Linked DNA regions of Coturnix japonica. The protein of the gene in region 4 interacts with the protein of the main gene of each other region in a pairwise test. Links are inferred from orthologs where the notes say so. Each region holds a gene or a part of one and is shown on either strand. Other genes may lie near its edges. The genes, in order: YWHAE, SLC51A, CCNK, ATXN1, HPCAL1, LASP1 and STAM2.

Region 1 (4,012 bases), on a different chromosome or scaffold from region 4:
GCAGTAGCAGCCCAATCAATGTGTGTAAATGTTGTGTGTGCAAAGGACAAGGCAAGGATTGCATCAGGAAATTGAGGATCAAGTAAAGTCCCTACGTTGAGGCAAATCGAATTGATCATGTACAGTCCCACACAAAACTAAGTCTTAGCTGCTGAGAAAATAGGCTTTTTTAGTTAAGATTTATGAAGGGCGGAGGTGATTGTAAGTTGCGCAGTGTTACACAAATACACTGACCGTAATCCGCTGGGATTCTATATAATTCTATAAAAATCATAGTAATATTTTAGGTACATCCATAAGCAAACCATCCAATTGTCAGTTTTACACAACCTTAAGTCTTCGTTAACTTGAAATAATGCAATGAAATGAATCAGGTGACAATAAACCGATGGTTAAACCTGTGCCTCTGATCAGTGGGCACAACATAGAACACAAATGGATACTCAGCTCTGTCCAAGAGGTGCCGGGGATGCTCTGTCTCTGCTGCGTATCAGAAGCTGCAATGGCCTCTGTGGGCTCTCACACCTCAGGAAGGCCAAGAGCCTTCAGCCCATCCAAGGAGACACTGGAAAAAGAGATACGAGCCTGTTCATAGCGGATACGAGCTCATACCCACCCTGAACAAACCTCACGTTTATCTTAGCCAAACAGAATCACTTTTCTTTTGCTTTTTCTTTGATTTGGGAAACGGGGGGGTGTTATCATAACGCTTTCAATGCCTGCTCGGTGGATTTCAGGCCTCTGTGAGGAATTGATGCCACATTCCTCTCACGTTCCAGTTCCATCCCCTCAGTGATCAGTCAGTGATGGCAGCCACAGCGCTCCCCCATCACACAGCCTGCCTTTCTACAGGCATTCCTATACCCGGGACGAATACAACAGGGAAAGGCCGCTGTACTTTGAATACACCAGATCTGAGAGGAAGGAGAAAAGCGCAGCCAGACTGAGGGAAAACCCGGCCACTCCGATCCTCCCCGCACCCCCACCCGGCTCTTTAACACACTAGCAGGGCTCCCTACCAGCACCCCCAACCCCAACCGGCTCCGCACCGCGGCCCTCGGCCTCCACATCGCGGCGGATCCGCATCCTCACGGCCGCCGCTCAACAGCAAAATGGCGGCCGGTCCCAACCCCGGCCCGGCCACATCCCGCCCGTTACTAAGGAGCCGCCGTTGCTATGGGATGCCGTAGGGCGCATGCGCGCGGTTGTGGAAGTGCCCGGATGCAGCGGGAGGAGGTGCTGCCGCCATATTTGCCCGGAGAGCAGCGAGCTGGTAGCTGCTGAGCCCCACAGACCCATCGGCTTCCATCCGCCCCGTACGCTCCCCGACGCCGCTCCGCCTGCAGGACATGGACGATCGGGAGGATCTCGTCTATCAGGCTAAGTTGGCCGAACAGGCTGAACGTTACGATGGTGAGCGGCGGCCGGGAAGGCCGTGAGAGGCCAAGGGGAGAGAGAGGGAGGGAGCGGCCACAAAATGGCGGCTGGGCGGGGGTGGGGGGGGCAGGGGCGGAGGAGGGGGGCGCCGACAAAATGGCGCCGGGGAGCGCCCCGAGGGCCGCGGAACCGGGGATGGGGGGCCCTGAATGAGCGGGCGGCCTCGGCCTGGGCGTGGCCCGCTACGGGGGGCGGTGGCGGCAGAAGCCGGGAAGAAAATGGCGGCCGCGAAGGGCGAGTCCTGGGGGGGGGAAGGGGGGAGCCGCCCCCGCCTCGGGGGTCCGACAAAGAGACCCCACTGCTTAGCGCCGTGCGGGCGGCTGTGGCGGTGCCGGGCGGCTCCTTAGTGCTGCGTTTCCCTCCGGCCGCGGCCCCGCGGAGCTCGGCGCTGTGGGGCTGAGCTCGGTTCGCCGCAGACAACGCCCCGCTCTCCGGAAGGTTCGTGCCGGCCCCTCGGGGGGGGCGATGCCGGAGGGACCCGAGGGAGCGGGATGGCGCTTCTCTTTCTCTCCCTTCGCTTTCCATTGGAGGCACGGCTCTCATTCACCCTGCAGCCGTCTGGCACTGCCCGTCATTACCTGAAGGAAGAACACATGCTTTCATTACACGCTGGAAATCATTACAGACCATTTTACGTTCCCACTTTGTCTCTTTTTTCCTCCCCCCCCCCTTCCCTCATTTGCCTTATGAAATTAGAGCTCTGATCCCTTTATATCTTGGGGAAAAAAAAGGGGCGGTGGGGAGGAGCTGGCAGCCCTGGATGGTATTTCTTGCCCCCAAAATGTCTGCCGTGTGACTGTTCCCTTCAAGGTGCTTTTCTTGCCTATAGAAGAAAGGGCCTTTAATTTTCTCAATGGGGTTGTTATTTCTGCCCTTAGATCTGTATTTCAAGTGGAAGAAAAGCCGGTGTGTGTGTAAAGGGTGGGAGTACAGTTAGGTTTCATTTAGAAGTGGGGAGATGCTTTGGGTCCTTTAATTGATCAGGGTTTTCACAGAGCAGGGAAGTCAGCTGGTGAGAATTAGGCTTTGTTCTCTGAGTTACTGCTTAGAAAACTTCTGATAATGGGATTCCAAAGCTGAGAAATACACCTTTTGGGGGAGGAAAACAGAAATGAAGGAGTAATTAAGACCATCTGCAGTGAATGTTCTGGTAGAAATGGGGTAGGAATAAGAATCGTACTGAGTGACAGCAGCCAGATAGTCTCCTTGTTGTAACTGCAGGGACTTGGGGGAAAAAACGTCCCCCAAAGCAGGTTTTGTGGGGTGACTTGTGCCCACCCCTTCAAGTAAGATGCAGCTCATAGTAGGAGAGCAACATCTGTGGGTACAAGTGGTTGAGGAGGGGGGTGTAGATTTGGGGTATCTTGGTTTTTTTGTCTCCTTAGGAGTGTGGGATGGGAAGGTGCATTGTTCTCATTGCTGCCATCTTCCACAAAGACCACAAATCCAGCAGTATTGGGGTGTGTGTGGGGGAGGGTTTGTTCACCTGGTACAGATGAGCCTCAGCGCAGGGGTGAGCTGTGGTTTGAATGGAACTCCAGGCTAAGGATGTTTGGGGGATACATCATCCTTTTGAGGTATAACTGATGCTTTCCTAGCTGAATGGGAAGTCACTTCTTTGGAAAGCAATCAGACCTTCCCTTATTGTAGAAATCTGCAGCACAGCCTGATTTCCTTATCAAAAAAGGTTGATAGAGATAGAAATGCCACACAAAGGCAGTCAGTGGGCTTCCAATCCCAATGCTCCAGTGGGTGTTTGAAGAATGAATTGCCTAGGTCAGAATTCAGAGGGCTTCTGTGTGGCTTCTGAGTGTTAATAAGAACACCCTCACTGAGGAGGTAATGATAATCATAGTGTTCTTATCTTTAAAGCAATATTGTGGGATTCAGACTTGCAGAATTTGTTGGCATGGAGTTGAATCAACAAATTTAAGGTGCATCCCTTAACTCTCCATGTTGTTCTATAGCTTTCCGCCTTTTTTTCTGTCCCTGGCCTGGAAAAATAAATACTGTAGGTACAGGTTTAGCATCTAATTCTGTATCGTTCAGTTGGAAGCAATTAAAAAGTGAAGAGTATATTCTCATTTACATGAAAGTAAGTGCTGAGGCTGCTCAATGTGAATGAAATGCTGTGGGGAAGTGAAGTGATGCTTAGTTTCATTCTTTAGTTTTACCTTTGAGATACATGATGGTGAGGTAATAGTGAATAACTTCCAGATACTACTGATGGTAAGTACTGGCTACAAATGTGCTGGAATAGAAACCTGTTCTGTGACTTGAATATGAATGTAAAATGACAATTTTTGATGTTTAATGTTAGGATAGCGTTACGTTCTGCCACATCTTTCTCAGTGAGGCTCAGCGTGCTGTGTGGTTAGAACAGCCATGGTCCATGGCATTTGAGGCAGCTTCTAAGGTAGGAATCTAATAAGTTTTTTGGGTTTTTTTTAGTTACATGACCCACTTAAGTTCTGAAGCCTTGCAGGCTGTGCCTGCCAGTTGTTGGGAATGTAGTTCTGTCTCTGTACAGCCCTTGGTGTATCGGCCCAGATTAAGAGGACAACTTTCTTAGGTG
Region 2 (4,198 bases), on a different chromosome or scaffold from region 4:
ACTAATTCTGCCTTTCCCACTCCTCCCTTCCCCTGTGTGTTGTGTTGGGAGGTCAGGAGGGGGCCCTGTGAGAGCACTGATGTGCAGCTCATGCCAGGCTCTGCTCTTAGCACTGGTGATCTGCCCATCTCTGACCATAGTGCATCAACTGGTTGTGCTGTCCCCTCCAGCCTCAGCTGCCTCAGGCTGGCTCTTCCCAGTCAGTGTCCACTGTGCTGGTTTCTCTGTATGGCCCTATGTGCACAACTCTGTGTCTTACTTGTGCTGGAGTTAGTTGGTTTTTTTTGGCATTTACAATTAGCCAAATAAATGCAAAATCGTTTTACTCTCTGTGTGCCTCATCCCTTCTGCTGTTCTAGCACAGATGTGTTCTCCTCATCTGCCATTTTAGCCATGGTTGGAAGGAGACGAGGCTTTGAGGATCTTCCACATTCCCACCTGAAATCGTGTCCTGCCCAACAAGGAGGAGGAGGTCCAATCCCAGCCACCAACACAACACATGTACAAAGTTATCTTTATTCAGTGCCAGTCAGGAACACCACCCCCAGGCTGGAGGGCTGCTTCCACATCCCAAAATGTCCTTTCTCCCTCCGCTGCCTTTGCTCCCAGCAGGCTCAAAGCATTCTGCTGGGCTGGCAGCACCCTGGACTTGCTCTACCCTTGCACCTTCCTCTGCTCACACCTTGGCATTGCTGCTGGTGGCTGCGATGCTGACAGGCTGGTAGCCCGGTTTGTCATCCTGCTTGCGGTAATACATCCGTGCCACCACCGCCAGGATGAAGGTCTGCGGGATTAACAGCTGCATGTTCATCTCTGAGAGCAGGAAACAGAGAGATTATTTGAAGGTGCTTTCACCAACCACATCCATCCCCTCCCTGCTGTGTGCTGGAGGTGCTTAGCCAGGAGCCAGCCCCCCCTCGCCCTGAGCTCCCAACTCACGCTGTGACCTGGCCTTGGAGGAGAAGGGTGGTGAGCAGGCGATGTTACCGTTGTTGGCCAGGATGCTGAAGATGGCGGGTTGCAGTGCTGTCAGCACCAGGAGAACCTGCAACCAACAGCACCACCCGTCACAGGGACCCACAAGCAGCCACTGTGCTCAATAACCAGGCTGGCTTTCCACCTTGTCCCACTGCCTCGCTCTGGCCATGAAGACCTTCTCCTTGTGCTTCAGGTGCTCACTAAGCTGCTGGCTTACCTGGAAGCAGGTGAACTTGGCCTGCATGTTCTGCTCCTTTAGATGCAGTCGTGCCTGCCGGAAGAGGATACCCAGCGCCCACAGCCCAAAGAGGGTGGAGGCTCCAATGACGGTGTTGATCCAGAGTGCCACACTCTCTGCTGAGATCTGTGGGGAAGAACAGTAGCTGGCAGGGCTGCCCTGTCACATGTGCCCCTGCCTGTCCTCCACCACAGCACTCACATCAGCAGGGTTGTAGTTCCCATCAGTGTACAGGACCAGCCCCAGGAAGACAGCAGCTGTTCTCAGGAAGGCATACTGGAAGGTCCCCAACATCAGTAGACGAAGCTTCCTCCTGGTGCAGGGAGAAGTTGGTTGCATCCCCCTGCCCAGGATTTGTTTCACCCTGACGTCCTATAGAGGGACAGCCCTGCCCCATCCCTCCCTCACCTGCTCATGGTGATGCGGGGCAGGCAGGGGCAGCAGCAGCAGCAGGGCCCGGTGCTCACCACCATGGGCACGTCCTTCAGGATGCTGAGCACGGCCTCCTTTCCCCCAAAGCCTTCCACCATAACCATCATCATGACGTAGAAACAGATGGCAAAATACCTGGGGAGGAGAAGGAGGAAGAGGAAGGTGACAGAAGCAGCCATGTCCCGCTGTCCCAGCTCAGGTCATACTCACATTGTGGTGGCCATCTCCACCACCATCATGGAGCGTGGGATCCACAGCCCGAAGCAGCTGAACACAGCCACCACCTGGAGGAGACACGGGCTGGGCACAATGCTGTCCCCCATCCCCATGGGGGGGTTTGGACCCCCTGGTGCTGCCCCCAGGCTCAGCTCACCGTGGGGGCTGAGCTGCTCCAGCAGAGAGTCTTCATCTTGATGGGGCAGCTGGTCTTGCGGTAGATGTAGAGGGCTTCTTCCACATAGATGACGACTGACACCAGTGTCAGAATGGTGGCCAGGCCCGTGATGGAGAGTTGGACCATGTCCAGCTCTGCCAGGGAGGGGCAAAAACCTGGTTTTATTGAGGCCTGTTCCCCCCTGCCTGGGGTGGGGGGCTGAGACCCAAGCAGCAGCCTTCTGCCTTCCCCCTCCATCCCCACCCTGCGCCCACAGGGGACAGAGGAGAATCCCCCCACGCTGCCCCCTCCCCACACTTACGCTGTAGCAGCTGCCTGGAGGTGGGTGGCAGGGAGAAGCACGCGGCCGGCACGCTGAAATTCAGCATCAGCATCTCCACCAACGGCCGAGGGAACCTACGGAGAAGGGGGGAGCTGCTGAGAGCAAGCAGGGAAATGGAGACACCAAGGGGTCCTCACATCACCTCTTCCTCTACATAACCCAAAATCCCACTGCAAAGAGACCCAGCAGCATGGGGGTCCTGGCACCTACCTGGGGTCATCTGCCAGCTCCATGGTGGGGTCCATCCTGCCCAGCTCTGTCCCACCAGCTGCTTGTCACTGCCTGCCTTGGTTTCCCTGTGCTGTCCTCACACTGGGTCAGAGTCCCGAGGGCAGGGACCGCGGGGAGGCTTTGGTGTCTTGTTCAAGTTTAACCAGCTCTGGGCTCTCATTGGTGAGGACCTGGCTGTGTCCCAGCCCCACAAAGTGCCTCAGCCACACGGTTATTGACCTGGGAGGAGTGTCTGTGACTTGTGCCATCATGCCTGCATGTCCCCAGAGCTCCGTGTGCTGGGCTCTGCCTGCCCACACTGCTGGACACCCCACAGATGGGCTCGGATGGGCACCCCGTGGTGCCTGGGTGCCCTGGTCCCCATGTGTCCTCCTGCTGGGGTACAGGATGAGTGGGGCAAGACCTGGTGTAGCACTGCCTGCCACCCTGGTACCACTCTGCCTGCTAGGCCACGGGAAGCCTGGCACATGGCTGAGTGTCTGTCTGTCCTTCCTGGCACTCCTGTGGCCTGGCACAGGACAGCAGGTGAGAAGGTTGCAAGAACTCAGCTCCCAGCAGTTAGCCAGGCACCATGACGCTAGAGGGCAGGGCTGGTACCAGCACCAGCTTCACTGACAAAGCTCTGGCCTGGGGGAGGGAGAACTCTGAGCTGGGAATTGGGATTCAGCGTGTCCCTGCCCTGAATGGACTGTAGCACCCAGCTGGGCAGTGGGTATGATCACACTGCTGGTGCCCTCACAGCACCCCAAGGAAAATGAGCTCCTGTGGACTCCTGCAAAGTTCAGAGTGGCACTCACACCCCAAGAGAGTCCTCAGCGCTCTGGGAACAAGAAGCTGCAGTTGCCATGGGGAGTAGTGGGGATGCAGTAGTTGCTATAGGAGTGGAACTCAGATTGTTGTGCCACAGCTGCCAGGGAAGGGGATGCGGTCCAGCCTGTGAGGGTCCTGCAGCAGCTCTGCTCACCATGGAGCTTTTTGATTCCTTTCCTTTCAGCATCCTCCTGGTCCTGCACCTGCTGGTCTCGTACCCGTAAGCCACTCTACAGTAGCACCCATGGCAACATGGGGTGACAGAGCTGCCCTTTTCCACCAGCATCTCAGGGACGCTGGAGTCGAGCATCAGCTCTGTGCTCACCCTGCTCCCCGACCACAGCTCCGTGCCCCATTCCATCCCTCAGGTACAGCTGGCTGGCCCTGCACAGCTTGCCGCTGGGCCCCTTCCTCACAACCATCCTCCTGATCCAGGCTGCCACCAGCCTGCTGGCATTCAGCTTCTCCAACCTGGAGTTCCTCCAGGCAGGTGGGATGTGCGGATACAGGGGGGTGGGACAGCAGGGGATGGCGCCAGGTCTGTAGGGAGCGGGGTCCCTGTTGTGTCACCTGCAGGAAGGACCCAGAGGGACGCACTGAAGCGGAGCAGCACAGTGAAGCAGCAGCACTGCCACCATTCCTGCTGGCAGCAAATTCTTTCTGCCTGCTGTGATAGCTGCAGGAGGGTAAGGGACACAGTGCTGCACACCTCCAGCACATCGCAGCCCCACTGATTGTATCCCCTATCCCTACACTCTACACCCTTCATGTGCACACCCAAGTGTGCAGTGCT
Region 3 (4,233 bases), on a different chromosome or scaffold from region 4:
ATTCAGCAAGAGCTGTGCAAGGAGTAATGCCCTCGACTTGTAGTCATTTCAGAAAGCCTATCCTTCATGTAATCACAGTATTAGGTAATCAATATTGTAAATACTTACATATCTTGGGAACTGTTTGAAGGAATGAAACATATAAAACCGATGGAAATAAATTATTCCTGTTGCTAAAGTATCATAGTGTCTGTGGTGCAGGATAAGGAACTTCAAGAAAGTCACAGAACAAATGTAAAATCAAACACACCCAATGAAAAAGATACACTCTGATATATCAAATATCTCAAGGAACTGTCCACTCAGCGACTGGCTGAAAAACACTGCAATTAAAAGAGAAACAGAAGCCACACCCCCTTAGGATTGTGCAAATTCTATCCAGATGCAGCCGACACCTAAAGCATTTACTGGGAGTAAGAAAAGCCCATATCACATCTATGCGTGGTCATCTGCGTGATAAGCACCATCATCAAGAAGGTCAAAAGCAGAATTAGGCACAAACAGGAGTAAAAGTGTCGCTTTGTATCACACCTCATGAAACTGTTACTGCAGGAAATAGTTACTAAATATTCATACCTACAAACACAGCTGCAACATGAACGGGCTCCCTACTATTCTTTGCCAGAATAAATGCAAAATTATATCTTCAAGATCTATTAAACAAAGAACTCACGGGATTAAAAGAAGTAACAGGGATATAGCAAGCAAAAAGTTTGAGTGGTATCCATGAGTTGAGACAATGGGGAGAAATTACCAACATACATAAAGTTGTAGATTCCACCCTATAAGAAAAACAAAGTGGGGGGTGGTGGATCACAGGTTGGAATCTCCAAAGTTAAACAATATAGAAAAATAAACATAAAATTCAAAGTTTGAGAAATCATATAAGAGGCCATATCTGGTAACCGCCAGAATATCCATAATTGACAAAACTAAACTCTCTTGCTTCTCAGAAAACACCTTGATTACCCAACAAATGGCTAAAACTATCAAGTAACACTCAGAAAGATTTTTGATTCATGATAAAGAAACATTAGAACAACTAGCTACACATATTCTGCAATATTTAACTCTTAAAACCCCCGTTCATCAACACTTTATCAGGAGTTTAAAGGATACAGCCCTAAACGTGTTCCCACATCAAATATGAACCTGGCTCCCTCCCTGCGGTACCGTGCCTCGGTGGCTGGATCAAGCCCTTCAAGCTGTGAAGGTGTATGTGCCAAATCTTTCTTATCCCAGTACCAGCATGGCTTTGTATGGTCCAGATTTGCCAAGTTTACAGAAGGGCTGGAGTTTTCTTTATTCTCCTTCATTTATTAGAACTGATCTTGCTTGATATGGCTTCAAAAAAGTTTCCAGTTAGGAGCTTTGGAACCTTTAAGAAAAGCAAAAAGAACTTATGTTAAAATGAAGGGGAATCTTTTTTCCATGCTCACAGACAAGTAATATTTAACCACGTTTTCATCTTCCTGACATAATGCAAATACAATTCAAAGACTAGATTTATATATGATTACTTTTGCAATTCTTTGATAGAGAAACTTCAACGTTTTATCAAAAGCACCTGCTACTTTTCTGTAGAACAACTTTAATCCATTTTGTCCATAAAATAAGACTGAACAATTTAGTGATAGCAGCAGCAAGATTTGAACAGCTGAAAGAGGGAGATGAAATCAAATCACTCTTCATAAACCAGGACACATATGTTAGGTCAGCCTGAAAGGAATTTAAACACAGAATCACAGAATGACCCGGGTTGGAAGGGACCTCAAGGATCATGTAGTTCCAACCCCCCTGCCTGGCAGGGCCACCAAACATACACCTTTACTAGATCAGGTTGCCCAGGGCCCCGTCCAACCTGGTCTTGAACACCTCCAAGGACGGGGCATCCACAACCTCCCTGGGCAGCCTGTTCCAGGGTCTAACCACTCTCCTAGAGAAGAACTTCCCCCTAACATCCAACCTAAATCTTCCCTCTTTTAATTTAAAACCATTTCCCCGTGTCCTGCTATTGTCAGCACTTTACTGGGTCTCTTGGAAACACTACCAGAATGGCAACACTTGGATAAAACCTTTGTTAAATCATCTGCACTTGAGTTACTTAAGAAAAAAACAGTAGAGTAGAGATGCATGTTAAAAAGATCATGAAGATCAAGGCAACTGAGATAGGTCTGTCTGGTCAGGTGCCACCTACAATCACTGCACTCAAGGGCCTCCCCATCTCGCCGTGCTGACACAGCCCTGTGCCCGCTGTCACACACAGGCCAACAGCCGCTTACAGCTCTGTCCGGCTCCCCCCCTCATTTACGGCTCTGCAGCCGTTTCGGTTCCTCCCCACGGCGACTTTTAAGGAGCTTTTTAAAGAGCCGGGCCCGCTTCTGTCACAGCCACTTCCGCGTGCGGAGCCCCGCAGCCCCGACACCGCCTCTCCCCGCCCCCCCCCCGGCACACAGCGCCCCGGGGCCGCCCCCTCCGGACCCCGCCAGCCCCGAGGAGCCCTGGGGTCCCCGATCACGGCTCCCTCGCACTCCCCTCAGGGAGCGGCCTTCGCACCCGGCTCCGTGCCACCTCCCCCGCTCACACAGACACCCGGTGCCCCCGCTCCCCGCCTCAGGAGCGGGCCCCCACCCGTAGAAGGCCGCCCAGCTCCCCGCGCACTCACAGGCCTCGCGTGGGACAGCGGAGCGTTGTGGAGCGCCGGGCCTCTAACGACAGCGCGGCCCCCGCGCTCTGCGCGCCGCCATCTTGGGAAGCAGGTCGGTCCGCTCGCTGCGGCGTCACGTCAACGTCACCGGGACTCAGCGCGCCAGCCCCGAGCGGCGGCCAATGAGAAGCGGCGGAACCTTCCCGCAACCAATCCCGTCTGTTTCAGTGGCTGCTAAGCGCGAGGAGCAGTCTCCCCTCGCCTTAGAATGGACCAATCAAAGGGCTTAGAGGACAAGATTGCAAACCTCGCAAGCCAATGAGATGCCGAAGGAGTGAGCTCTCTCCCAGCCAATGCGGGAGCCGCCATGCCCTTTTTTAGTGCCTACAGGCGAGGCAGCGGATTGGCTGCCGAGCGTCCCGCTGGGGGCGGGGCTTGCCTTGTGGCCGTGCTTTGACCAATAGCAGCACGGGGGCGGGGCCGTGCGCTGGCCGTGCGGGGTTGGGCCTCACTCGCCCTCCGCCTCCCACCCGCGGGCAGCGGCGTCCGGCGGAGGGACGGGCTGGGTCCGGCGCCGCTCCCAGCAGCCGAGGCCGCGGCCGCTCCGTGCGGGAGGTAAGTGCAGGCGGTGCCGGGACCCCTCGGGCTTCGGCCTCCCGCACGGCGGGCTCGTTCCCGGAGCCCTTCCCTCCGCGGCCCTCCCCGCCGCCTCCCTTCCTGCGCTCCTCCGGCCCAGGCCTCGCCGCCCCCTCGCTTTCCTCCCTCCGCCGCGTTTCTCCCTCCGTTGTGATGAGGCTGTGCTGAGCCCGGTGCAACCTCTCTTTCCAGCCTGGCCCTCGGAGGCCGGAGCGGGACGCCCGGCTTGGAGCTGCTTTCCCCGTGATGTCATCCCTTCCCTTTCCATCACGCTGCCCGCTCCTTCCTTTCGCTCCCTCTGACCCTCCCGTTCACCAGCACTAAATCCGGGGCGGGGGGCCGTAGCGTTGGGTCAAACGTCAAATAACTTCTGAGTCCCCTTTAAGCTGTTTGCCTGCAAGCAAGTCGCTCTTTGGGCAGCTCGGTGCTGCTGAAACCCAACTTTGCACAGCTGTTCCTCATCCTCTTCCCGCCCATGCACTCATCGGGTTGCTTAAGTGAAGCTTGTGGTCTGCAGTTGTCTTTAGTTCTGAACAGCTTCCTCAATTTGCAATTGATTTGCTGCCCAAACACAGCACAGAGTTGTCAGAACAATCCCAGCTTTCGTTTTGGAAGCTGTTCTATGCAGCATAGAGTTTGGGCTGAGAAGCCTGGTACCTGCTCTTCTATGAACTTGATTTTGCTCATGAGTTGAAGCTGTGTGCAACTTCTGTCTCCCTTCTGAGAATGTGTAATATATATATATATGTAATATATAACCTGTCTCTTCAAATGATGCCTCATAAAATCACAAGGTTGAAAAGGACCTACAAGATCATCTAGTCCAACCGTCCTCCCTTTACCATACCTACAGAAAACCTCTAAACCATATCTTCTAGCTCTCTATCCAGATGCTTCTTGGATGCCTCTGTTCTATGGGTGTTAACAACGTTACTTTGACATCTCAACTC
Region 4 (3,500 bases):
CAAAGTGAGATACAGTACGCACTGAGCGGTAGACCAGGATGCTCAGCCAGAAAGTGTGAACAGCATTTTAAGTGCTTAAAGACATTCTACGTTCCTCTTCAACATCGGGTTCCTGTGTCACACTGAAACTTGAAAAAAGTGGCACCAGTTGTCCATAATCATGAACCAAAAACAGTACTATAGAGTTAAAGACCGAGATCTGCAACCTAACTGCAAATGACGTGTGCCTGTGATCTCAAAGGGGCAGTATGCATCTCCCTCGTGGAAGCAAATGTCCATGGCATAACCTGACCGATGTGTCTAACACTGCACAGAAACAGGAGTGAGCCTGAGGAGGGCATGTCACCCAGCCTGAGGCTCCCTGCACACCCACACACACCCACGCACACTTGTGCACACCCACGCCACCAGGCAGCCCAACAGGGTGAATGGTGCAGAACAATCACCCCGTGTGTGTATGTATGTGTGTGTGTGCATGGCCTCTGGCAACGAACTGCACGAGCAAGCAGAAGGAAAGGTTGGTGTGGCACTTGCTTCACGAATAAAAATCAGTGCAGTCGGACCCCATGGGGGAAATATATATGTACAGATACACACACACACACACAAATATATATATATATATATATACATATATATATACATGCACATATATGTGTACATATATATACTGTGAATCTTGAGTAAGAGTTGGCTTATTGTTGACAAGGTCAGAAAGCATCTGATCCTTTTTGGTAACATCTGTGGGGCTGCGTCCTCCGCATTCACCTGGAGTGAGAAAACCTCCTCACAAGCCCCCATGGCCACAGGGCTGCCTCAGGCCGGGCACGCGCACACATGCACACCATGCGTGACACATGCACACCATGCATGACACGCACACCACACGTGACACACACCTCTGCTACAGTTCCCTTCTCCTCACCTCCCCCCAAAAACTGGAACAGGAACCAAAACAAGGAAAAAAACAAAACAAAAAACCTAAAAACAAAGAAACAAACAAACAAAAAAAACAAACATAAAGAAAACAAACCAAAATCACAGCTGGACCCTGTCCTACACGAGGTGTTAGAAAACAGGAGCCATGACAACACATTCATTTCCACTAAGGGTGTGTGAAGCAGATACTGCCCCTTCTGTAGCTCTCAGGAAACCTAGTCACTGACAAACACTTGTGGAAAAACATATGCACCAGTCTCCTGCATAATACCAGCTGCAACTATAACAACAAGGTTATAACATAAACCTAAAATAAGATGATAACATGTAAATACTGGGTTATTTAGTCTACAGTACAGTAATCTGGATAAAAATGACAAGGGATAGCCTAATTTCCTTTCCCCAAACAACATTTACTTTCCTACATTGGATCGACCTTCAATGCAAATCTTAACCTCCTGAGGAATAAAAGAAGGCTTGGGAAGAGTCAAAGGTGGCTCCTCTTCTGATTTCTCTAGTTTCCGCGATTCAGGGGCTGACCACCTCCTCTTCCTCGTTGCCGGGGGCTTGCTGGGTTCTGTTTTGGTGAGCAAAGGTGCTGCAGGCAATCCTATTTTGTCCGGAAACTTCAGTTCACCATTCTCAGCTAACATCTGTGCACTTCCCTGATTAATCCCATTTTCCTGCTCCGCATACCTGTGTCTACTTGCAGCTAGACTGTCATTCTTTGAATGCTTCAGCAAGATGCTAGCTGAGTCCACGGGCTGGCCCTTTTTAATAGAGCCGTTCTTCAGGTTCTTGAGCGTAAGAGATATGCAGACGTCCCCCACTGAGAGTTTGGAGCATGGCAAATCAAAGAGCTGGCTGGTTCTCTCGGGGCAGCAGGACGACCAGCCTTGTCCAAATACAAAAAAAGGGTATTCTACCAAGACCTCCACGCTGACCTGCAGAAAGAGAGGAGACAGCAGAGAGAGAGGGAGAGAGGAGAGAGCGTCAGACAGGCCCTTTGCCTTGGTGCACATGAGCAGCGGCCAGCAGTCGTCGCTCGCGAGAGTCAAGCAGGGATTGTGCCGCTGCCATTTGGTATCTGTGAAATCTGCACATCGAGCACCAGACTTCAGGCTTGTCCTTGTCAAACGGGTGTTAACAGACTCTCTGAGCTCAGCACTTAACACAAAACCTCAACAGGAATCGATCTTTACCTCTATCCAGCTGCTCACAGAGACCCAGCAGGCAAAACAGCTTTGGCAGCTAACAGATTCTACTCCCTGACGTGCCCTCATGATACCTCAGCCTCTCGTCCATGCCTACCAATACGTTCCAGACAGAGGATGGCTCCCTGAGCTGGAAGAGGCTCTATTCCCAGCAATAACACGTGATTCCCTAAATGACCATGGGAACGTCACTTCTCCTTCTCTGTCCCTGCCCATGCAGCTGCATACTTACCAACATGAAATGGCTGAAAATGTTGACTTACAAGGGAAGGCCACAGGTGTGAGCAGAGAGCTGTGTATGTAGCAGCATTGGGAACGAACCCACCTACTCTGAGCAGTAATGGGCCTGGGCTATTTTGTGCCCTTCTCACCTTGCTCTTCCAGCAGCCCACCTCTCTGATTATTACCTATGAAAAGCATTCTTGATTTCACTTCTCAGCCTGACCTTGTTAGTCCCCACTTTCAAAATGTACATGGCTCTGGGTCATACCTCATTATCATACAGGCAGCTGTGGTATCCAGGAGAGCAGACCAGCAGCAGGTGCCTGCTGCTCTATGACTGTGCTCGTGGTGGATCCTAGGGCTAACATGATACAGCACTCAAATACCTGCTGATCTTTGCACCATGTTTGTCCATGGGCTCACACAGTAGATGTGGGCTCCTCTGACTCATGGCCTACAGGACAGAGCTTAACGCATCCTGAGGGCTCCTGGTTAGCCACAACTGGTAGCTCTGCTCCTCTCCCTACTGTTGCTGCTCCCCCAGAAGCACCCTGCCTGCAAACAGGACCCCAGGCAGCTCCCTGCACACCTCACCCGATGGATCATCATCCCCCTTGGCAAGAGGGCTGGATGTAGGATGTCCCACAGAGCAGAGCCATCAGATCGCAAAAGCCAAAGATTCCTCATGGCTTTTGAGTGGTCAAACCCATACCATGCCCTAGCAGACAACTGCAGTTCATGAGACAGGTGATTCCACTGATGGAAAAAAAAAATACAAAAAAACTTTAAGAAATCTATAAATATATGCTACAAATTTATATGACCAGGCAAATACAGAAACATCTGCCCTGAGTTTGAGATCATATTCCAAAGACACGCAACCCAGTAAAGGGTGTGACGAGGAAGAGTGGGGAGGGAACACTCACTACCATCTCTTCTGGATTTAAACGGAACCCTCTGTCCACATAGAGCTGTAGGCTTTCCTACTGGACACAGATTTCTCATTTACATTGCTGTACTTTGCCTCTTTATCATCTCCTTCCTGTTTGCTACAATAATTTTTTTTCTTTTTATGCTTTCCCCACCCCACCAAAAGCTGTGTATCTTTGGGAATCATCCATGCTT
Region 5 (4,057 bases), on a different chromosome or scaffold from region 4:
GATGTGGTCAGTGGGCAGAGTGGGGATAGCCAGGAGCAAGGTTCATTATTCCTTCAAAACACACGTTTGGTATTTGCATACCAGCACACACGTGTGCACACTCGCATCCCAATGCTCGTACTCTGCATGGTTGGAGAACTGGAAACAAACACCTCTGCCACTCTGACTAGCACGCTGGTTAATTCCTTACGATAAACACATTGTCTGAAACAGAAATTCAATCTAATTGCAAAGCCAGCTGCTTCAGCTTAGCCAACCCTCCTGGCACAAGCATCAGGATCTCGGTATGCCTCATTTCTAGCAAGCATCTCTGAGGCCAAAGCAGCCTCTTGGGACTCAGCCTCCTGCCCTTGAGGTCTCCAGCTGTCCCTACCAGCCAAACCTTCCAACCCAGCTGGAGTTTTGAAGGTTTACCATCAGCCAGACACCTTTCTGATGAGGTTAAGATCACAGCCACTGAAATCCTAGCAGTGATTGTAGATGTCATCAACAAAACTGGCAGGTCTCAAAGGAGGATGCATTAGCTGTACGTAACTATAGCTGTGCCCAGCTTTTGGTTCTGCTTTTTTGCCAGACAGATACCAAGTAGATTGCATTGCTCAATACAGGTAGTTCAGTCATCAGGAAAGACATTTGAGAGCGCAAGAGAAGAGAAAAGCTGGTTGGGTTGGACAGGTTATTCACCTGAACCCCCTAGTTACAAGCAGCATCTCTTACTGCCAGTGGCACATGTTGTGCGATGCAGCCCAGGAGACGTGCAGTCTTTCTCACATTACGAGCTGGATGCAGCCTCCAGGCTCCTGCCTTCTAATTGTAGCACAGACAGCGCAAGGTAATGTATCGTTCATTGCGCAGCCCATCCTATGGGTCTCCCAGCCATTGGCACTGGATTTCCACAAGAAACCGATCCCACATACAACCACTATGGAAAGCACAGGAGGAACAAGGGAAAGAGCTCATTTCAGAAAAGAAATGGTCAGTTTTTGTTCCACTCGCTGGAAAACGTATAGCATTTGTTACTGAAGCTGTCCTAGGAGTCAGGTTTGAAGGAAGGAGCAGCAGCTCTGCAAGCGAGAGATCCCCTTCCCACGAGCATCAGTGCATCTCACACACACACAGAGCACAGTCTCATTCCTCACAGTCTCGTATCACCAAAAGCAAGAAAAATCCCTACACTATAGAGAATTCCAACTCAGACTGCCCACTTCGTCTACCAGCATTCCCATCCCTCTCAAATCAAGGTAATCAATACATCAAAAACTATTTGCACGGCTTCAAAAATACAACAAATGATGCTGCACGAATCTTTTTGAATCGCAACCATTCCGAATCACAGATCATGTCGGATTTCTTTGGGTTTTGTTTTTATGGTTTTTTTTTTCTTCTGCAGAGCCACAGTCCCTAAGCTGACTTGCTCAGCCCAAACCAGCTGCCTGTGCCCGTCCCTTATGCCCAATGCCAGCCCTGCATCCAGCTGTAACATAGAAAGCCTCTGCAGCTGGCACAGCTCTCCCCACCCAGCACTGCTCCCCAAGAAGATGAAGCAGCGCCAACAAAAAGCGCTTTTTTCACCGGGATAGCTGACAGCACACGAGTTCTGCTGCCAGCATTGCGACATCCATTCTAAAGAGGCGAGCGGTTCTTGTTTTTCCCTCCCCTACACAGTTTCCTCCACTTTAAGCCAGACATAACCATCACACTGAAGGCAAGAAGAAGGCAGGTGTGGCAGAGAAGCAGCGCTGCCGGCCGGCATCTCCCCATCTCGCGTAGGCAGAGATGAGCACAAAGTGCCTTTCCCTAATGACAGCCGAGGCTCGCAGCTGCCGTGCGATCCGCTCGCGTGCGGGGAAGGGCCCCGGGGCTCAGCACCGGCGGCGATGCGGTCCCCGTGCAGGCACACGCAGCATCCCCGGCACCACCCAGGGCGGCTGCTGCCCGAACGGCCGCCGGGCTGTGCCGAGAGGAGCCGGGAGCGTTTGAACCCACAGCCACAACAAACGGCTCCCATTGAGAAAACGTGTCGGGGACGGAATTATTGCCTCCTCCGTTTGTTTTCCCCGCAAAGAAAACTCCGTCTCTCTGCCACATTTATATTTGTGAACGGGACTACGGTACAGCCTGCAGCTCCAGCGCTCGCCTAGCATTATTCCTGCGGAAATAAAGCCGCCGTTTTCTCATACGCACACAAACTACACAGCCGCCTTCTCCCAAACTAAGCCCAAACTTCCCCGCCCGCTGCGGCCGCCGCTCCCCCCCGTTCCCGGTGCGGGGCACCGAGCGGACATCGGGCCGCTGAACGGCCCCGGGGGAGGGGCGACCGAAGCGGAGCCAGCGTTCAGCCAGGGCCGGTTCGAGAGACGGCAATAGGAAGTAAGATTTCGGGGAGCCGACTCCCCGAACGCCACTCGTGCGGAGCGAACTTCGCCGGCTCCAAGATCCCCCTTAACGCACGCGGAACGCACGGATCCCCGCGTCCGTTCTTCCCGGCACCGCGCACCTCCACCCCGTAGCATCCCCGGCGCTGCCCCCCGCCGCCCCCCGAGCCGCCCGCATCCCGCCGCCCCTCACCCGGCTGCGGAGCGGTCCCGCGGCGGCCTCCCGGCAGCTACAACTCCGCGGCGGAGCCCGGGCGAGCCGCACGCCTGCGGAGCGGCGGCGAGAGGAGAGGAAAAGAGGAAATGAGCGGGAGGCGCATTGGAGGGAGGGGGAGGAAAGAGCCGCCGCCGAGGGAGCGAGCGGGAAAGCGAGGCACGGAGCGCAACTTCCCCGCGGGGCAGCGGCGGCGCCGGGGGGCGGAGCGGAGCCGGATCCCGCAGCACTGCGCAGCGCCGCGCCCCGACGGGGCCGCCCAACAGCCCGCAGCCACTTGGTATCGCCCGGCCGCCGCGGGGCAGGAAGTGCGGGGCGGCGGGGAAAAGTTGATCTCTTTGGTTTTTTGCTTTTTTAATTCCCTCTTCTTTTTTTAAAAAATTATTTTTAATATATTTTATCTTTTTTTTTTCTTCCTTTTTTTTTTCTCCTTTTTATTTTTTTTTATTTTTATTTTTTTTTCTTCTAACCCCAGTGCAAACAAGGAAGCTCTCAGCTGCAGGCCCTACAACGAGTTCTGCCACCGCAGCCAGCACGTACCCACCGCCCCTCCCCTCCCCATCCGTGCCCGTGCAGGTGGATCCCTACGGGTGCGCTGCCTCTGGCCGGGGACAGCCGCCCGCACAGCGCACCCTGCCACAAAATGGAGGGGATTGAGGGCTCAGTGCTAAGCTGCTTCTCGAGGGAGGTCATGGGAAGCCTTGCTAAGAGCTACGGCCTGCAGAGCGCACGGGGGATGAATCCTTCCTTTAGGATTTCTGTTTTTCCCTTAGCTCCTGCCCGGCGCGCTTTCAAGTCAGGAACGTATAGAGAATTGAACGCCGTTCCCGTTGTGCCTTATCGGCAGCTTTCACTCTGCCTTCCTTCATAGGAGTCCAGGCGAGCGCACGAGATAAGAACCGAGCAGAGCTGAAATCAGGGCCACACCAGGAACAAAAGATCTGGAGAGATTTCAGCAACAAACCTTGGGAGGCACAAAAAGCCTCCGAAATGCAGGTTTTCAGAGCTTATCTCCGTACTGTGAGGGCAGAAAACTGAATTAAGAAACAAAAATAGAAGGAAAAAAAAGCCACATTTCACCTCTAAGGCAAAGCTGGAATACGTTGTAACTATTGATGCAAAGCTGGAATACGTTGTAACTACTGATGCAAAGCTGAAAGTGTTGCTCTGCAGTAACCCATTTCTCCAGCCCCTTTCAGAGCAGCTCGAACCATTTTGCCGACTTAAAAAATGACCTATATGTTTATACACATAAAGGTCGGCCCAAGGCAAAAAACAAGCTGGGAAGCTGGCGAACCTGTGCTGTTAAAACTAGAAGCGACTCGAAACAGGAACACAGAATGGAAAACTAGATGCAAGCACCGTCACTGCCAACTTCACACGCCTGCAGCCCGCTCCTCCTCGCGGGGGGTGGTTACACATGAGTAATCCCCTCTGTTTCCCTGCACACCCTATGTGAGCAATGCCA
Region 6 (3,467 bases), on a different chromosome or scaffold from region 4:
TACAGCTCCCTTTGCTTTTGGGTTCTCAACCCATTTCAGTCCGTCTGCATCACCAAAGGGAGCATAGATGGAATGGGAACAGCAGACACAGGTGGGAGAGGCAATAGGGCGAGCAGAGCCACCTACCTCCAAGCCCTCACCCCCTGCTCAGGGTTGGATGCAGCTGCTGAATCCCCCCTTGGGCTGCACTCAGACACAAGGATCTGCAGGGTCCCCATGTCTCCAGGTCCCCCCTGTGTCCCAGGGGCACAAGGGAACAGCGGGCACACTGCAATGACACCAGCACCACGGGCAGGTAGAAACCACACTTTTATTGTGGAGGAAACCAAGAAGGAGGATCAATCTGTTCCATTCGAGGGTTGGATTTAAAAAGGCCAAAGGACGGATTGTTGGGGGGGGGGGACTCAGCCCCATAGGAAGGAGAATGTGAAGACAAACCCCAACCAAGTGGTGGATCCAAAGGAAACACCTTCTAAGCACTGAGACGTGACCAGGGCAGCTGAGAAGGGCGAGGTTTATTTTAACACGTGACGAGAAGCTTTTCCATTTCTTTTTCTTTTTTTAATGTTTTTTTTTTTTTTTTTTTAATTCATTTATTTATTTTAAATACAGGTTCAGGTGCTTTTCAGCTATGAAAAAAGGCAAAAAAGTGCATAAGTCGAGAGAAAAAGGCAGAAATGAAGCAGTAAGAGGTTTGTTTCCCACAATAAAATGGGGGGGAGAAGGGGAGCAGAGACTCAGGACAATGGTTCCAAGGTAGCATTAAAAAAAGGTCTGTATACCAAAACGTGATCACCTGTGTGATTTGGTCCATTAAAAAACGCTTTATTCACATTGACAATCCCCCCCCTCTACTATTTCCCAGACAAGGATGATGAAGGATGGGGTTATGGGGAGGGATGTGGACTCTCTGCCCCCTCCCCTCCTTGCCTGTGTAGCACCGAGTGGACCCTCCAGCCCATGCAGCCCACCCTGGTGGGATGGAGGCAGGAGAGGGGGGGGGATTTTCCCAATGGGGTCCTCCCCCGTCCCATGGGATTGTCCCCAGGCAGAGCTGAGGGCTGTCTGAACTCGGTCACTTTGGTCCTTTGGGACATGAGCACCTGGCTGCAAGGCTTCCAGTTATACCTTCAGCTCTGGGACCTTCCCAGCCTAAAAGGGAAGGGGACAGAGATGTGCTTTGAGATCTTGGTCCACTATGCGATCCCACATCAGCAGCCACCACTGCTGGGGACCAATGGGTGAGAGGTGGGGGATGGCAAAGGGCTCAGGGTACTTAAACCCCCCATCTTCCCACTTCTGGACAGCCCCCAGCACAGTCCCAGTGCAGTAACAGAGCAGAGAAATACATCACACTCAGCCCATAGAGGCACAGGGATGAGGACCCAAAAGGGGAGAACCGGAGCTGCAGGGGGACATGAGGTCAGGGCAGCAGGTGCTCCTGCATGGTGGCACCTCTCAGCCTGGGATGCAGAATGAGGCAGCTGGACCCCCCCAAAAAAGCAGCAGGAGCTGCTCCTGGAACCATTCTGAATCCCAAGAGATATATATTTTTAAAGGTTTTAACCACAAATATCCTTCTGGTTTGCAACACTGAGGACTGAGGGAGCGCAGTAGAAATAGGAATGGTGAACAGAGAGCCAGGGGAAGCAATGGGACGAGATCAGAGCCAGATCAGCGCAGGGAAGGTGCTGCCAGCTGGTCCCCCCCAGCATCCCTCCCTGCCCCCAAGAGGTGGGATGTTTGGTCCTAAGGAAATGATCCTGCTCCTCCCTTCCCTTGCATTCCCAGCTCACTGGGGGCTGGGGGTGGATGTGGGGCAGCCTGGTGTGTGTGCGCCCCATCCCATCCCCTGCAGAGGGGAGGAGGAAGGCAGAAGGAGAAACATTTGGTCCCAGAGCCCCCCGTCATCCCTCGCAGACAGACCCTCAGTCCCGGCAGAGTGAGAACAAAGCTACAATTGGCGAGAGAAACCAGAGGTGGCTGCAGAAACACAAAGAAACCGAGACGTCGGGACACGGCTCCGGCAGAGGGAAGGGATGCTGGGGGAGAGAGAGACGCGAGCACACTGGGGCCATGTTATGGAATGGGGGGGGGTTCAGCTCCAACCCCCTCAGATGGCCTCCACGTAGTTGGCGGGCAGCATCCCCGTGTCACCCGTGCGCTCCACCGTGCCGTACATCCAACCGTCATCGATCTGCTGCACGTTGATGATGGTGTCACCATCCTGGAAGGAGACCTCGTCCTCATCGGCTGCGTTGTAATCGTAGACGGCACGGAAACGCTTCTGTAAGGAGAGAGAAGTCAGAGGGCACGGAGCCCACCATGGGGAACCCAGCCCATAGAAGAGCTGTGCCAGCAGTAGCCATGGGATCAAAGAATCACAGGATCACCAGATGGTTTGGGTTGGGGAAGACCTCAAAGACTGTAGAACCGTAGAATGGTTGGGCTGGAAGGGACCTCGAGGATCATAGGATCAATGAATGGTTTGGGTTGGAAGGGATCTCAGAGATCATAGAGCCATGGGATGGTTGGGTTGGAAGGGACCTTGAAGATCATAGGATCAATGAATGGTTTGGGTTGGAAGGGATCCCAAAGATCATAGGATCAATGAATGGTTTGCATTGGGAGGGACCTCAAAGATCATAGGATCAATGAATGGTTTGGGTCGGAAGAGGCTTTGAAGATCATTAAACCATAGAATGGTTGGGTTGGAAGGGACCTCAAAGACCACAGGACCACATCATGGTTTGGATTGGAAAAGACCTCAAAGATCATTGAACCATAAGATGGTTTGGGTCGAACAGGACTTCAAAGACCATAGGATCAATGAACGGTTCGGGGTTGAAGGGACCCCAAAGACCCCACACTCACCCCCGCTGCAGAGGGTGCACTGCGCTGTGTGGATGCAGGCGCTGCAGGCTCCTTGTAGCCATAGGACTGCGAGGCTGGTGGCTGCTGCTGGTACACTGGGCAAGAAGGATACACCATTAACACAATGACCTGTGGCCATTGGAAGCCCCCAGGTGCTGGGATGGCCCTTACCCGGGTTGCTGGGCTGGACGTGGTGCTGTGGCTGGTGCTGCTCCGGTCGTCGGTAATTGGTGCTTTCCTGGGAGTTCCTACGCTCCATCTCTGCGCCCTCACTGGGGCTGGGGCCCATCCTGCTCCTCTCAAACTCTTCGTGGTATTTGATCTACAGAGGAGGACAAGAGGTACATGGGGAGGACCAAGCAGCCTGACTTCCCCTTGTGCCCAGGGGAAGGACGGCTTCAGGGTCCTGGGGGGAGATATGTGAGGTTTCCAGGCACAGATGCAGCCCCCCAACCCCCTGCACTGCAGGAGCACACAGCAGAAGCACTTTAAGTGATCCCACCATGCAATCACTGCAGCAAAGGGTTAACTCAAAGCCTGGTCGTGATGTAAAAATTAATAGCTGCTCCTGTTAATGAATACCCTGCCATTGG
Region 7 (3,993 bases), on a different chromosome or scaffold from region 4:
GGAAAACAGCGAGTGTGTGTGAACTAATGATGAATAGATTTAGATAGGAAATTAAAATGTTCCAAACCCTTTAAAGAACTCAAGTCTCGTGGCACTCTCTCTACCAAAATAATAAGAATTTAAAAAAAAAAACACCACTTCTCTCTACCGAAATAATAAGAATCTTTAAAAAACCCACAGGTGAGAGAAATGGAACTCCTGAAACTATCCCATAGGTTCATCTCATGGAACTGCAACTATAGACAATGCAACCAAAGCAAATGCTGAGGAAGTAAGACCCTATGCAGATCTACTGCAAAGCAAACACAAGTTCAGAACTAAGAAAACAACAGCTGCAGCTGTGTTTATCTATAATTTCTAAAGGCCCCCTCCCAAGAAAGCTGCAATACCGAAGGCATGGCCTGAACAGATATCCAAACCAACCCAATTTCTTGCTGCCAGCAGAAGTAGGGCTTCAACCTTCCCAGGGAGCCCTGCCCCTCACTGCCACTTTGCAGCCTCTGATGAGCTGATCCGAGCCTCCAAACTCCATCGCCTTCACAGATGATCCCAACTGTCAGCCAAGCACTCCACTGCAATCTGTTTTCTGCTGAAGAGAATGCACTGAATCAGCCCAGAGAGCAACCCACAGCACCTGAGTGGACAAGAAGATGGAAGAGCTCTCCTTCCCAGTAGCATCAGGACATCAGCAGAGCTCGACTGCCCTCGTGGTACGCACCTTTATTATTTATAAATCAAAAAGATGAATGAGAAAATAAAACCTCGAATCACAAAGTTAAAGCTCGACAGCAGCATGAGCAGCCTGAGGTGAGTACCACCAGGGAAAGTACAGAACAACAGTGTTCAGTTATTTGCTGCTCCGTGTTGTCTGATTTACTAAGTAATAATAGCTGAAAGAAAAAAAAGCTCCTAGTGGCACAAAAGTAGATTCTTCCTAGCAAGGCACTGCGAGATTTAGCCTCAATAACTATGAAATTCCCAGCCCACTGCTCTTGTTTCATAGCAGCATGTGTGAGCAGTTCTACTCGCTATGTATAATACAGAGTTTAAGAAACTAGAGGCACACTGACCATCACTTTGCAGCCCTATGCTTTTAGAGCTGTTGCAGCTTTTCAGTTTTGACAAAGGATTTTGTACAGCCGTGAGTCCCCAGTTCAAGAAGTCTTCACTTGTGCAAATACATCAGAGCTATGAGAAAGGTACAGAACACACACAAGTTCTTTGAAACAAGTACAGCTGGCCTAAGCGGCTGCTACTTCATTTTAGCCACAGGTCAACATCAAAGAGAACTGAAGGCAAAGCCTTCAATAAACAAACTTTGAAGGCACACGAAGATAACAGTGAAACCTCAGAGTTGGAAGGGACCTCTGAGGGCCATCTAGTCCAGCTCCCTCGCAACCAACAGGGGCACCAAGCTAAGTCAGATTGCCCAGGGTCTGATTGAGCCTTACCTTGACAGTCTCCAGGGATGGGGCATCAACCACACCACTGTTCCAGTACCTCACTAACCTCACTGTAAAAGGCTTTTATCTAACCTAAATCTACCCTTTTCAAGCTCAGTGCCATTTCCCCTTGTTCTGTCACCACAGACCCTGCTAAAGAGTCCATCCCCTTCCTTCCTGTAGCTCCCCTGTAGACACTGAGAGGCCACTATTATCAGGTCACCTCGGAGCCTTGTCTTCTCCAGGCTGCACAGCCCCAGCTCTCTGATCCTGTCCTCATAGGAGAAGTGTTCCATTCCATCCTGTGGACTGTTTTTGTAGCCCTCCTCTGGACACTCTCCAGCAGCTCCATGTCCCTCCTGTACCGAGAGCTCCACATCTGGACGCAGCACTCCAGGTGAAACCTCACCAGCACAGAGCAGAGGAGCAGGACTTACACTCACCACAAGGAACTGGGGTGTTAACGTGAGCACTGACAGCCACCACTTCTTCCTGCCAGTGGCCAGAATCCTGCTCTAGGGAACCTGCAATGAGCTCTGGGGAACCAGCTCTCAGGGGACTGGGCTGGAGGAGCTCCAAGATCCCTTCCAACTCCTCTGGTTCCACGATTCGGCAATGACAAAACTCTTCTCGTACCTAAAGCCCTGGGAAATCACAGAATGACCCGGGTTTGAAGGGACCTCAAGGATCATGTAGTTCCAACCCCCCTGCCTGGCAGGGCCACCTTTACTAGATCATGTTGCCCAGGGCCCCGTCCAACCTGGTCTTGAACACCTCCAAGGACGGGGGAAATTTTAATTGCTTTTGCTGTGTTGCAGCTCAGCAGCGGGCCTTTAAAGAACAAAAAGCCAACAACAAGACACGGCACAAGCTGGATGTCCCCGAGGGCAGCGCTGGATCACGACCCGACCCGGACCAGCCCGGCTGAGTCACGGCCGCACCAGCCCCCGGTTTTGCAATGGAACGGAGCGGCGGCTCGGGCCGAAGTGGGGCTGTGTCCATTCTTACACCCGGTGGGCGCTATCCCGCCGCCGGCACCACCAAGGCCGATCTTGGCCTCCACAATCCCAGCCCGACCCGCCGACCCGAGATACGGCCGGGCATCGCCGCCGCTCACCCCTCACAGGCCCAACGCTGCACCGAGCCCAGCCGCGTCCCGCCGAGCTCCGCACCGCTCCCCGCTCACTCACCCACGTCCTGCTCGAAGGGGTTGGACGCGAACAGCGGCATCTCCACGGCGGCCGCCCGGCCCCGCTCCGGCCCCTCACACCGGGCCCCAAAGCCGAATGCGGCGGGGAGAATCAGGCACCGGCCGGGGCAGCCCGGGGACCTCGCGGGGTTTGGGCGGGCCCCGCACCTCGGCGCCTCGGCCACGGCCCTTCGTCACGGCTGGGAGGAGCCATGTTGAGGCGGGACGGGAGGAGAGAGGGGTGTGTGTGATGTTCACTTCTCATCCCCCTGTAACTGGGTTGTCGAAAGGGCTGACAATAGCAGGACACGGGGAGATGGTTTTAAGTTAAAAGAGGGAAGATTTAGGTTGGATGTTAGGGGGAAGTTCTTCACTAGGAGAGTGGTTAGGAACTGGAACAGGCTGCACAGGGAGGTTGTGGATGCCCCGTCCTTGGAGGTGTTCAAGGCCAGGTTGGACGGGGCCATGGGCACAACCTGATCTATGGGGTCTCTATGGGGATCTATGGGGTCTATGGAGTCTCTATGGGATCTATGGGGTCTATGGGGTCTCTATGGGATCTATGGGGTCTCCTGGGCAACCTGATCTAGTAAAGGTGTATGTTTGGTGGCCCTGCCAGGCAGGGGGGTTGGAACTACATGATCCCTGAGGTCCCTTCCAACCCGGCTCATTCTGTGATTCTGTGAATACTTTCAAGGACTTCTGGATTGTATATGAGAAATGGAGTCTAACTTGAAGCACACACGGACGTTTCTTGACAAATGAAGGCAGTTTGCGTTTATTTCTAACCACATCGGGCTAATTATCAAATGCCCTCTAGCTTTGCTGGCTCTGTGGCTGCCTCTATAGCAGCTTAATGACTCACGGGCTGCGGTGTGGGACGGAGCTCCCGTTGTGCTGGTGGCTGTGTTGGAGCAGTCTGCAGGTGGCACCGCTCTCCCACTTTGGAGGATTTTGATGACAAAACGGAGTGTTTTTCCTTCGACCTTAAATTTACGAATTCAGTCGAAACTGATGATTTCACGTAGTGAATCAAGCGGAGTCAAAACGTCATTAATTTGTTTGATTGCCTTAAAAAGACAGGACGAATCAATTGGTGGTTAGGCCCTGGAACAGGCTGCCCAGGGAGGTTGTGGATGCCCCGTCCTTGGAGGTGTTCAAGACCAGTTTGGATGGGGCCCTGGGCAACCTGATCTATGGGGTCTCTATGGGGTCTATGGGGTCTCTATGGGGTCTATGGGGTCTATGGGGTCTATGGGGTCTCTATGGGGTCTATGGGGTCTCCTGGGCAACCTGATCTAGTAAATGTGTATATTTGGTGGCCCTGTCAGGCAGGGGGGTTGGAACTACATGATCCTTGAG

The links.
Region 1: the proteins of ATXN1 (region 4) and YWHAE interact in binary tests that used the Homo sapiens proteins (3 or more experiments, as listed by UniProt). The link is inferred for Coturnix japonica from reciprocal best matches to the Homo sapiens genes ATXN1 and YWHAE.
Region 2: the proteins of ATXN1 (region 4) and SLC51A interact in binary tests that used the Homo sapiens proteins (3 or more experiments, as listed by UniProt). The link is inferred for Coturnix japonica from reciprocal best matches to the Homo sapiens genes ATXN1 and SLC51A.
Region 3: the proteins of ATXN1 (region 4) and CCNK interact in binary tests that used the Homo sapiens proteins (3 or more experiments, as listed by UniProt). The link is inferred for Coturnix japonica from reciprocal best matches to the Homo sapiens genes ATXN1 and CCNK.
Region 5: the proteins of ATXN1 (region 4) and HPCAL1 interact in binary tests that used the Homo sapiens proteins (3 or more experiments, as listed by UniProt). The link is inferred for Coturnix japonica from reciprocal best matches to the Homo sapiens genes ATXN1 and HPCAL1.
Region 6: the proteins of ATXN1 (region 4) and LASP1 interact in binary tests that used the Homo sapiens proteins (3 or more experiments, as listed by UniProt). The link is inferred for Coturnix japonica from reciprocal best matches to the Homo sapiens genes ATXN1 and LASP1.
Region 7: the proteins of ATXN1 (region 4) and STAM2 interact in binary tests that used the Homo sapiens proteins (3 or more experiments, as listed by UniProt). The link is inferred for Coturnix japonica from reciprocal best matches to the Homo sapiens genes ATXN1 and STAM2.

What each region holds. Positions count from the first base shown.
Region 1 is NC_029534.1:3,989,822-3,993,833, forward strand, and holds the start of YWHAE (14-3-3 protein epsilon), read left to right. Parts: upstream 1-1,212; 5' UTR 1,213-1,349; coding exon 1,350-1,413; intron 1,414-4,012. UniProt on the Homo sapiens protein: Adapter protein implicated in the regulation of a large spectrum of both general and specialized signaling pathways. Binds to a large number of partners, usually by recognition of a phosphoserine or phosphothreonine motif.
Region 2 is NC_029524.1:12,997,857-13,002,054, forward strand, and holds SLC51A (organic solute transporter subunit alpha), read right to left. Parts: upstream 2,722-4,198; 5' UTR 2,610-2,721; coding exon 2,575-2,609; intron 2,439-2,574; coding exon 2,344-2,438; intron 2,177-2,343; coding exon 2,022-2,176; intron 1,933-2,021; coding exon 1,859-1,932; intron 1,784-1,858; coding exon 1,625-1,783; intron 1,530-1,624; coding exon 1,418-1,529; intron 1,343-1,417; coding exon 1,196-1,342; intron 1,046-1,195; coding exon 940-1,045; intron 814-939; coding exon 677-813; 3' UTR 501-676; downstream 1-500. Other genes in the region: uncharacterized protein LOC107318217, read left to right, coding at 3,561-3,625, 3,774-3,895, 3,982-4,091. UniProt on the Homo sapiens protein: Essential component of the Ost-alpha/Ost-beta complex, a heterodimer that acts as the intestinal basolateral transporter responsible for bile acid export from enterocytes into portal blood. Efficiently transports the major species of bile acids (taurocholate).
Region 3 is NC_029520.1:43,658,512-43,662,744, reverse strand, and holds the start of CCNK (cyclin-K), read right to left. Parts: upstream 2,801-4,233; 5' UTR 2,666-2,800; intron 1,587-2,665; exon of another isoform or gene 1,568-1,586; intron 1,379-1,567; 5' UTR 1,317-1,378; coding exon 1,120-1,316; intron 191-1,119; coding exon 109-190; intron 1-108. UniProt on the Homo sapiens protein: Regulatory subunit of cyclin-dependent kinases that mediates activation of target kinases.
Region 4 is NC_029517.1:67,425,141-67,428,640, reverse strand, and holds part of ATXN1 (ataxin-1), read right to left. Parts: intron 1,884-3,500; coding exon 1,353-1,883; 3' UTR 1-1,352. UniProt on the Homo sapiens protein: Chromatin-binding factor that repress Notch signaling in the absence of Notch intracellular domain by acting as a CBF1 corepressor. Binds to the HEY promoter and might assist, along with NCOR2, RBPJ-mediated repression. Binds RNA in vitro.
Region 5 is NC_029518.1:88,237,448-88,241,504, reverse strand, and holds the start of HPCAL1 (hippocalcin-like protein 1), read right to left. Parts: upstream 2,801-4,057; 5' UTR 2,569-2,800; intron 1-2,568. UniProt on the Homo sapiens protein: May be involved in the calcium-dependent regulation of rhodopsin phosphorylation.
Region 6 is NC_029542.1:3,769,946-3,773,412, reverse strand, and holds the end of LASP1 (LIM and SH3 domain protein 1), read right to left. Parts: intron 3,197-3,467; coding exon 3,046-3,196; intron 2,970-3,045; coding exon 2,875-2,969; intron 2,288-2,874; coding exon 2,114-2,287; 3' UTR 501-2,113; downstream 1-500. UniProt on the Homo sapiens protein: Plays an important role in the regulation of dynamic actin-based, cytoskeletal activities.
Region 7 is NC_029522.1:30,549,718-30,553,710, reverse strand, and holds the start of STAM2 (signal transducing adapter molecule 2), read right to left. Parts: upstream 2,801-3,993; 5' UTR 2,673-2,800; coding exon 2,633-2,672; intron 1-2,632.